Xenopus tropicalis: one gene and its partners. The main gene of each other region encodes a partner of the protein of the gene in region 2 in a complex. Links are inferred from orthologs where the notes say so. Each region holds a gene or a part of one and is shown on either strand. Other genes may lie near its edges. The genes, in order: bmp2, nog and bmp7.1.

Region 1 (3,756 bases), on a different chromosome or scaffold from region 2:
CCACAGCCATTAACCACTGGCTCAAAGCTCTTGTAAGCTTTTGAAACAACCTAACCAGTTCCCTAACACTGCAATACATTTAGAAGGAAACAAATACTTTCTTGAACCTCCTGCATTATAGACAAGAAGCCAGTACTGGTCTATGGCATAAGCCACACAGGGACATAGTAGCTGCTGTACCTGGATGTTCATATGTTTCCTACAGAGGTATAAAATCCCATTTGTGGATTGGGAAGGGGTGCGGGCGATTTGTGCTAGTTGAAAGAGATCTATCTGGCTTGTATAGCAGATAACAACATCTATAGAGTGAAAGGGCTTCAGCACACACCAGACAACACCAAAACTTCTTAGCAGTTACCCAATGGAATTTATACAGGGCACCCTGCCTAACCCAAGCTGCGTGTGGAGATTCCCAGGGGATTACAATATATAGATTTCTAGGTGACACAACAACATTAGTTCAACAATAATGTAAAGCAGCTGCAGTAGTGAGCGCACGTGCAACAATTTGCAATTTTTCTTTAAGCATGTAAGTTTTGCATTGCACTGTGGATCAAGACAGACAAGGGCTGCGTCTGTTCCAGCGGTCACGGGCTGACATGTTTGGGAAACTCCACATTACAGTTCAGTGCCGATCTCTCTCACATCACACAGAGCACGTGCCCCCCCAGCGGAAAGCCAAGACTGCTCGTCCTACACGTATTTCATAGTCTCACAAACAACCAACAACACAGAGAGACTTGCCAACTGCTCATTTAGCAGCAGAGTTGCCATATCTAGAACATGCCTTCCATTCTGCAACATTCACTTCTTAGATTTAGGGACATGTATACGGTTAGTCTGAACTTCAGCCATGGACTAGAAGGGTGACACACAAAGCTACTAGTAGCAGCTACTTGTCGTGGCTACTAAAATAGACAATGCTGATCATTTACTGATAATTGTCTCTACATATGTTTAGCAATTCTCAGTATTGTCTATGGCATGGTATTTTCTAGTGCTTAGTAGCCGTAACAAGTAGCTGCTACTAAGTAGCTCTGTGTGTCTTCACCCTTATAGTCCATGGCTGAAGCACAGACTAACAGTAGACATGTCCATAAATCTAAGAAGTAAATGTTGCAGAATGGAAGGCTAATGGAACCCTAAGAACTAGCAGATAGTGGCAGACCAGAACAGTGGGGCAATGAGAAGACAGTAACACTTTATAAGAATTGCCCAACCTGCAGTCCTTCAGTTGTTTAAGTACAACAATCAACACATTACAATGGCTGTTGCAGCTACAAAGTCTGCTTAGCCCTGGGCACCACCAGGACATCCCTAGTTATATATAAAGGTGCACTATGGCAGAAAGCAAAGCTACATGTATCATTATTAAATTCTAATCAACCAAACACATGCAAAAACAGCATGGCAGTCATCTTGCCCCATCCCCTATACTACAAGCTAGTAGGGATCACTACTGCCTACAGTGCGATTTGCCCCCCACGCTGACCTGGAAATGGTTAACCCGTCGGGAAAATAAATGAGGGGCTTCCTATCAGCCGGGCAGATTGTTATAGAGAGTGGGCTTTAAATGCGAGCAGCCTGTGCCAGCCAACACACTGTATAGCAGTGATGCAGTGGGACAAAAGTCGCCCATGAGTTGCAGAAGCAGTGGTTGCGTCTGTGCGGCAGGGTGCAGGTGTGGGATCGCGGCGCAGATGCACCCTCGTCACTGGCCAACGGCAAATCCGCACGTAATAAAAGCAATCAGGTGAAAGGAACGATAGGGGAGTGGGAACGGCCACACGCCTGGAACTTGCGACACAGTAGCTGCCCGGATTACTGACTGCAACTTTGGGGTCTCCAGCTGCTCTATTACAGCCCCTAGTATCCCAGGACAGACGCTGGAAGTTGTAGTTAATCAGAAGGCTTCACTAAAAGCCTAATTCAGAATTCGTTCTACTGCCCATTTACTGCACACATCATCCACCATAAAGGCAACTGCCTATCAAACCACACCGGCGCCAGCAGCTGGGGGAGCGATTGTGTCGCGATGGGTAAGTACCTGTGCGCCGAGTTTGTGTCTCGATGATGGTTTTCTGCTCTCCGTGTGTTTTTTCCACATCACTTGACTCTTTTTACTCCAAACTTCTCCTTCCCAGGGCTATTAGGCAAATCTGCGCGTCTAGTCGCAGCCCAGTCCTTCTCTTTTTGCACATACTCGGTGCGACTGATCGTGTGTCCCTTAACCAAGAACGCCCCAATGTAGCACCAAGTTATCCTCCCCCGACTGGAGTCGGTCTGAGTCGCACCGGGATGTCACTGCGATCTCCTGTGCAAATAGCAGCGCAGCGCAGCCGCAGGCATTAGCGCTGAATGGGACAAGGAGGCAGCGCTGGAGTGGGATGCGCAGAGGAGCGACCTTTCCCTGTATCCCGGCTGTAAGAGGCAGTTGGGCTGCAGCTCATCCCCGGCCGGTCAGCTTCTTCCTCTCTCCACTTTTCGTGCGTCCCTTTGCTTTTTGTTTCTATCCTGATGTCATCAGGCTCTCTGCCAATCAGGAGCCAGCCGCACACAGGCACGGAGGTGCTCGCCAAACCTGACCAATCCAGCCCTCCTCACATCCCCACTGTTATATATAGATTGTATGCGCCCCCTGCTGGATCCCACTCCCATTGCAGCAGCCCTGTTCCTGCTATGGCACTTGCTACAACGCATTCATTATGGTTATTCATTATGGCTTTAGTACCCCTCTAGTCACTGGGGGGCAGTGATCAGGCAGAACAAAGTGCAAACAGCCATTTTTTGCACTTTGAACACCACATTTGGCCTTATCTGCACTGCAGCAGGTTCTACACTCCACCTGGCCCTTGTTGAGGGAGCCCCCAGCCCCCTCCCACTTCTTACTGTGTGTATCATTTATACGGGGGTCCCCAACCAGTGGCTCAGGGGCAACATGTTGCTCACTGCCCCCTTTGATGTTGCTCCCAGTGGCCTAAAAGCAGGTGCCATTTTTACATTTCTGGCTTGGAGACAAGTTTTGGAAGCCCAGAGACACAGTTTTACCCCAAGCAGAGCCTCCTGCAATCCAGCAGTCACATGGGGTTACCAAATAGCCAATCACAGCTGTTATTTGACACCCCAAAGAACTTTTTTCATGCTTGTGCAGCTCCCCACCTAGGGCTGGTGCCGGTATTACAAATTTACTGGCAATGTAATTGCCCATAAATTTGTAATCCCCCTTCTTTCTTAAAGTTTTTACCTTGAGAGACTCAGGTGCTCAGAACTGCCCTTCATAAGCAGCACCTCCCCTCCTGTCTCTGATCCACCCAGGGGCCTATTTATATTAAGGCACCCGAGGGCCAGTGCCTATTTAATGTATAAAAAAAATTCCCCCAGCCTTCACCACAGATTTCCCTAGTAAATCCGGCAACAGAGCAGGAGGGTGAGGGGGTTAGGAGTCACAGGCTTTGGTGGAAGTGACGTCACGTGCATGCTGTGGGTGATGTCATGTGACGTCACACAAACAGTAGCGGTGTATTTAGGTCTGGAGCCTAGGGCAGCACCGAATCTAAATACGCACATGATCCACCCATACCCTGCCCTGATCTGCACATACCCCACCCTGATCAGCCCATGCCCCACCTCTGTTACGCCACTGCTGGAGTCCCTGTACTGCAGGCCAGTAAGACCTGTTAGAACAAGCAATAAGGCCAGCGCTTGTCCGTGCTCTACTCTGCTCAAAGTGCTTGTTAAGTGAGTACTAATGGGTGT
Region 2 (2,342 bases):
AAAGCACTTTGGAACATAACAGATAAGCACCAGTTTAATATTTTAGTGGTTTACTTTTATTCTGCACTCTACAGGGGGGAGAAAAAAAAAATAAAAGAATAAATAGCAGATAGTTCTCATTTACAAGAGTAAATTTTCATATTTCAAAATGTGTTCTCTCTATGTACAATAAACTGAAAATTATATCTTACTCTGGTTTTTATTCATTTTTTGTTTGTTTTTGAGGTTCATCAAAAAGGCAAGTTTTCCATAAAGGGAAAAAATGCTTCTATATTATTAAACTATTAAATTTGTTTTTCTTGAAAAAAAAAAAAAAAATGCTTCGCGGAGCGAAGTGCTCTTTTTTGGATATAAATAGAGATACATTAGGCAAAAAAAATAATAATATTAAAATAAAACACAACCAGGATAATAGTGTTGGAAATACAGTAGACACTGGTTATTTAAAAGAATAATACTGACCTTTTAATAGTAATTTAGACCAATGCCATATATACACACATATACATTTCTACATATTACAGTGCATATAACATGAAGCTTGAACCATGAAGCTACTGTCTTTTGCATTAGTCCAAGAGTCTCAACATGAACATTTGCACTCAGATATGACAGGGTACTGAATGGTTATCCATGCACACTTCTGCTGAACCCTGCGTTGACATCTCCACCTTAAGATGGTCAAATGCATAGACTTGGCAGCTTTGCAAACCATGCCCTCTGGCACAGAACAAGACCTCTTACTGTAGCAGCTACCTACTTTCACATAGCGAGGCCAAAACCTGGTCCCTAGGTCATTCCATGTGTAAAGGACAGGACAGAAGGTCTGGGACCAGAGCCACATCTGCAACTTTCTCCTGAGTTTCTTGCTCAGTCTGTGCTTTTTGCCCTGAAGCCCCTCATAAAATTCCAGTCCTTTGATTTCTGCTGGCATTGCCCCTGAGGGCTTCTGCCTAAGAAGGAGATCCAACTCCCCAAGGTCCTCCACTCCAAGTCTCTCCTCCGGCAGGTTGATGGCCATAAAGTTGGGGTCAAAGTGGCCAACCATTAAAGTCCTCAGCAAGGTCTCATTAAGATCCTTCTCCTTGGGATCATAGATAGGATCCGGATGCTCAATAAGGTCCACCAGTGGTAGGTTTTCACTAGGAGCTGGTCTGATGTGCAGATAATGTTGGCAGCCCCCCTGGTCTATTCTAAGTCCCAGGAAGACCATGAGAGCATATATAGTCACAAGGCACTGGGAATGATCCATGCTGCACACAGCTGCACAATATAAGAGTAGGGTGCTCCCGATTTCTTGCCAGAGATCATAAATAATGCATCAGAGGAGGAATTGGGGGGGTTCAGGGGCACCCCCCTCTCATTGCAGACAAGTGGAAGTTCAGAGCCCCGTCTGTCTCCCCTGCCCCTTACGCACAGCCCTTGGTGGCACCACTGTGTCTGCCTGCTGCCTCCAGCCTCCCCTCTCTTAAATATTCTTCACTTTCAGCTCGATCACCATGGTAACCAGAGACTCGATCTTCTCCAAGAAGAAACAGTGGGACAAGGGAGGTGTAAGAAAGCTGCGACGGTCGCAATCAGCCAGCTGTGCGCAGCGACTCCCACGGCTCCTCGCTATAGGGATGCAGCCAAGTTGCACGATCCCTTACATCTGTCCATGCAAATCCCCGCAGGTCTCTTTACTCGCAGGAGCCCATAGAGAGGTTGCAATGTGCTGCTGGGGGGCTCTGCTGCTCTGCCCTGGATAAACTCTGCACCACACTCAGTCTGTACCTCGTCCCTCTGGCTACTTAGGATTTATTAGCCAGGCTCCATACGGCTGTGATGTCATTCATGTTTAAGTAGTGTGGTGGCCCATGGCCAGGGTTGGTTGCTTGGATGACACCTCCCTCTTCTCTTGAGTGGTGGGACCTGCGGTGGGCGCGTCTTTCAGTGGGACAGACCGGAGCGACTGCCGCTTGACTCTGGCGCCCTCTGCTGGTACTCTATGGCACATTGCAGCACTGCAGGAATTCCCTGTCTGCGCTAGCGGCTCCGCTCTCTCACTGATTTAATCATAACGCGAAATCCTCTATCTGTAGTCATATTTGTCTTGAAGCATCAGAAGATGTTTTGTATATTATTGATAGTTTCCCTATATTTAGAACAGAGCCAGCGCTCTACCCTCAAACGTCACATGCGAGTTTAAAATGTAAGCTTCGCGGATCAGACTATTCTTCTGCGGTCTGGTCGCTTGGAAAGTGTAACGTGGACTATAAACTCCGCCGGCTACATGTGGGCTCTGCGGTTGCATGTAGTACAGTTACCCCCGCTGAGGGAAGGGGACACCAAGCTATGAGGTT
Region 3 (3,756 bases), about 20 Mb from region 2:
CCATCGGGGTGGATTCAGCCAAACCCAAAAAACTGGGTTCAGTGCATCCCTATTAAAAATCTGCCAGATATCTATCCAGCAGGTTTGTAAATCCCACTAAACCAGAATCACTGGCTCATAGATGAGGTTCTCCCTCAAAAGATCTGCATTGACCTACATTAGGATCCAATTGTTGGCCCTGACCAGATCAGCTTACTTTTGCCCTGTACATGGGTGGCAAAATGGGTGAAAGATCTACTTGTTTGGCAATCCCACCAACTGAGCACATGTATGTGTGTACAGCCATCTTAACTCTGTGCCACCCTAATCTTAAACTTAAAATTATAGGCTGCTAGCGGAACCATCACAGATGCTGCATTTTACAATGTAATTTATGATAAGAGAACACCTGCTTGAAATAAAGGGTTGTTTCTCCGGCTGATTGCGTCCCTCTTACTTAGTGTTGACAGTCTAATAATCCAAGTTCCCAAAGAATCAACAATGGAACTACAGAAAGGTTTTCAGTTACTGTTTCAACGCAATGTCTCTCCTGTCAGCGATGTTCAACTAACTTTTTTGGGAGGTAGAGGTCTGTACAAATTTTATTTTTACGGGTTATTTCTCCTTCATAAGATAGTCATCTTCTCCCTAAGCAGAAAATTTGGCCTTAGTAGTCTTATCAAGCCCTCATATTTGTTCCCTTGCTTCTAGACTGTTTGCTAGTGTTGTTCGTCCTACGAGGGGGGGGGGTTGATATTACAACAATAACAGAGAAAACAATGTAAACAACAAATATTACAACACTGTTTATACAACACAAGCTGTTTTTTTATCGCTGCGGCAAAACCCCACAATCATTTAAAGACATAAGGTTTCCACTGATCTACAGAAAACAGGGAAGCAGATTCAGATGCAACTTTCTGTGCAATGAAGATTGACTGCCCCGACGGCACATAGCCGACTGGGAACGCTGGGATTAGAAGTTCATACTAGTTAGTAGGCTGTGCTATATTACGGGGTATTTTTACCTGTCTAAAACGTGTCTACATATATAATTTGGAATTTTATCACACGGACAGATATTTGTGTGTCTGTCCCTTTAATGAAACACTTTGCACAACCCCATGCTGGGAGACTGTTCCGTGTACGCACTAAGCTTTCAGCAATCAAGTTACTTTATGCATCTTTCTTGAAAAGGCACATTAGAGAATCCCTTGCTGCAAAGACACAAGCAGTAAAAGGGTGGTGCAGCAATGCAGTTTGAAGGATGTTATTAAGCGCTCTAATAGGGCTCTAGTCCATTTGTGCTCATTTTCGTAGTGTGAATCACTGAGCGTTCTGCTTTGAACTCTGCTGGGCTCAGAATTTCCTGCTCTCTTCTTATTCTGTACAGTAATTGCTACTTCAAAAGAAGTGCGCAGACCTGTCGGATCATGTACAATCCCAAGAAATTGCTCGGATGTAGCAGGCAGCTAGACCATTCCACCTGAGAATATGCCCTGGAAGGCACGCCAAACAAACTACAAGCAAAGTGCTTTTGCCAAATATGACTACTGCATTCCTAATAAGCAAAGCTTCAAAGCCAGCAGACACCAATGGGTAAAGGAAAAGTAAAAAGCTTACAATCTAATTCCGTGCAATGCTAAAAACCTGTGTTTGCAGAGACTGTTTCTGCAGTAAAGCATGGGAAAATGTTACTGAAATCATAGTATAATCAATAAAACTTCTGCCATATATGAAAGTTTATTGGAACCTAGAACAAACTGTTAAGACATCTCCAGGCAAGAGATAAGGGATAACAGTACTCACCTAGATTAACAAAACTCATAACCATGTCGGCGTCATTGAGGAAGTTGCTGTCCTGTTGGCTGGCCAGCGGTGGCCCCTGGGTGGTAAAGATGGGCTTGTATGGATAAGAGAAGCCTTCAGCTTCCTCTTCGTCCACTGTCATAGCATTGTACAAATCCAGCATAAACATAGGGGCAGAATTTTGCTTTCCATACAAATGGGGTCTGGGTCTGTGCGGCAGCCCCAGGATGGATAAAATCTCTCTCTGCATCTCCCTGCGCTCTTGGCCTCGCAACCTCCTTTGGATAAAACTAGAGTGCACCTCATTGTCCAAGGTGAAGTCGGCCAGGATGATCCTCCACAAGAAGTATGTCCAAAGGAGCACAGAACCCGTTTTGTTCTTTTGCAGAACATTCATTTCCCTTGGATCTGTACGGCAAAACCTACAGCACCTGCCCTTCTCTCCAAAGGGGAGACCATCAATAAATGAGCATTAAATCAAACCAGTGCATCCAACTCTCAGCTGAAGTTCTCACTAACTTGGAACAGCTGGAGGCTTCCTCTGCATCAGCTGAACCCAGTCATTGTGAGACTTTGTAACAGGCGACAGGACAAAGGAAGACAGATATACAGATTAATCCTTGTTTTTTCTGCCCTGTAGGGTCTGATCTGTCCTCTCTGTCTCTCTAGCAAAGTCTAAGTGGCTTGTGAAGGCAGACGGAGCCAGCAGGAGACTGAATGTGGTGGGAGGAGCAGGCAGTAAGAAGGAGGGCATAAACAGAGAGAAAGAAATAACTGCACTGTGAATCCCATCAGGTTGCTTCAGGATGTTTGCAAGACTACAGACAAGGGTGGGCCACTGTCTATTTGGTAATTGAAAGTAAACAGATTAAGGACTGTCTGTGTCTCATTATCATTTCAACTGGAGGGCACAGGCATATGTGGCTAGCCTCCTTTTCTCCGACAGGGAAGGCTGTTTGGGACATTCTATAAACAGAATCGATGCTAATAATGCACACAGTGATTTGCTGAAAGTTTAGCAGTCAAAGCTGTCTCTATTATGGAATGCTTGCATTGACAGCTTGCAATCTAAATATGAGGAATTATTATTAACATATAAAGCGGCAACATATCCCGCAGCGCTGTACAATAAGTGGGTTACATACATTGGACATACACAGTAACCAATAAGAAAAACAGAAGGTGATGAGAGCCCTGCCCAAAAGAGCTTACAATCTATAAATAAGTGGGTCCTTGGTATACAGTATTTTGCCTTTAGCACATCTATGATTTGGATGTTACGGTGGCCATACACGGGCCGACTGTAGCTGCCGATATCGGTCCCTTAGACCTCACCAAGCGAGCGGATCTTAACGTGTATGGCCACCTTTAGTGCAACTGAAACAGAGAAGGCCTTGATGGCATAGGTTAAGTTTCTTTATCTTATAATAAATATAATAGACTCAGTTTGAGCTTACTTTATTCATCCCAAGATTTGAGGCCAGTTCCGTACGTGCTTTTAATGCATGTATTAAGGTAATAATGTCACACATTTACGAGCATTTATACTGCTATAAAATTTATAGGGAGCGGAGGCAGCTAAACTACAATGACACCCAGAATTGTGCAACCGCTCGACAGAACAGGACCGAGCAGCCCACAGCCCAAAATTATCACCTCAAAATGTGCCCCTCCATGATGACTTGGGGGATAACCTATCCTTCCACAATAATATTTAATACCATATTAGTAATTCTTGAATAGTGGTTGCAAGGAAAGATCAAAATGATGCTTCACTGTTTACAAGTCTCTTTGCAAACAGCCAATCAGAATGTCCAGGAAGTCAGGAGTGACCCTGCAGGCTCTTCTGTGCCGAGTAAGATAACAGCTCAGTTGCCACTGGGTGACAAGTCTTCCTCGTGCGTTACTAGCCTCACCATCCAAACTATAGCATGTTTTGTAAAAATGTATTTGAGGAACACAAATATT

What was found.
Region 1: the proteins of nog (region 2) and bmp2 are in contact, whole or in part, in a crystal structure (PDB 7AG0), measured with the Homo sapiens proteins. The link is inferred for Xenopus tropicalis from reciprocal best matches to the Homo sapiens genes NOG and BMP2. Residues at the interface, in NP_005441.1 of Homo sapiens: Ile33, Arg34, Pro35, Ala36, Pro37, Ser38, Asp39, Asn40, Pro42, Leu43, Val44, Asp45, Leu46, Ile47, His49, His199, Arg204, Arg206, Pro219, Ile220, Gln221, Tyr222, Pro223; in NP_001191.1 of Homo sapiens: Trp310, Asp312, Trp313, Val315, Ala316, Pro317, Pro318, Gly319, Tyr320, Ala368, Ile369, Ser370, Met371, Leu372, Tyr373, Lys379, Val380, Val381, Leu382, Lys383, Asn384, Tyr385, Gln386, Met388.
Region 3: the proteins of nog (region 2) and bmp7.1 are in contact, whole or in part, in a crystal structure (PDB 1M4U), measured with the Homo sapiens proteins. The link is inferred for Xenopus tropicalis from reciprocal best matches to the Homo sapiens genes NOG and BMP7. Residues at the interface, in NP_005441.1 of Homo sapiens: His29, Tyr30, Leu31, His32, Ile33, Arg34, Pro35, Ala36; in NP_001710.1 of Homo sapiens: Phe365, Pro366, Leu367, Asn368, Ser369, Asn375, Ile378, Val379.

Annotation. Positions count from the first base shown.
Region 1 is NC_030681.2:25,391,582-25,395,337, reverse strand, and holds the start of bmp2 (bone morphogenetic protein 2 precursor), read right to left. Parts: upstream 2,445-3,756; 5' UTR 2,048-2,444; intron 2,040-2,047; exon of another isoform or gene 1,728-2,039; intron 1-1,727. UniProt on the Homo sapiens protein: Growth factor of the TGF-beta superfamily that plays essential roles in many developmental processes, including cardiogenesis, neurogenesis, and osteogenesis. Induces cartilage and bone formation.
Region 2 is NC_030686.2:25,897,566-25,899,907, reverse strand, and holds nog (noggin), read right to left. Parts: upstream 1,253-2,342; coding exon 584-1,252; downstream 1-583. UniProt on the Homo sapiens protein: Inhibitor of bone morphogenetic proteins (BMP) signaling which is required for growth and patterning of the neural tube and somite. Essential for cartilage morphogenesis and joint formation.
Region 3 is NC_030686.2:5,568,784-5,572,539, reverse strand, and holds the start of bmp7.1 (bone morphogenetic protein 7), read right to left. Parts: upstream 2,372-3,756; 5' UTR 2,186-2,371; coding exon 1,789-2,185; intron 569-1,788; exon of another isoform or gene 548-568; intron 1-547. UniProt on the Homo sapiens protein: Growth factor of the TGF-beta superfamily that plays important role in various biological processes, including embryogenesis, hematopoiesis, neurogenesis and skeletal morphogenesis.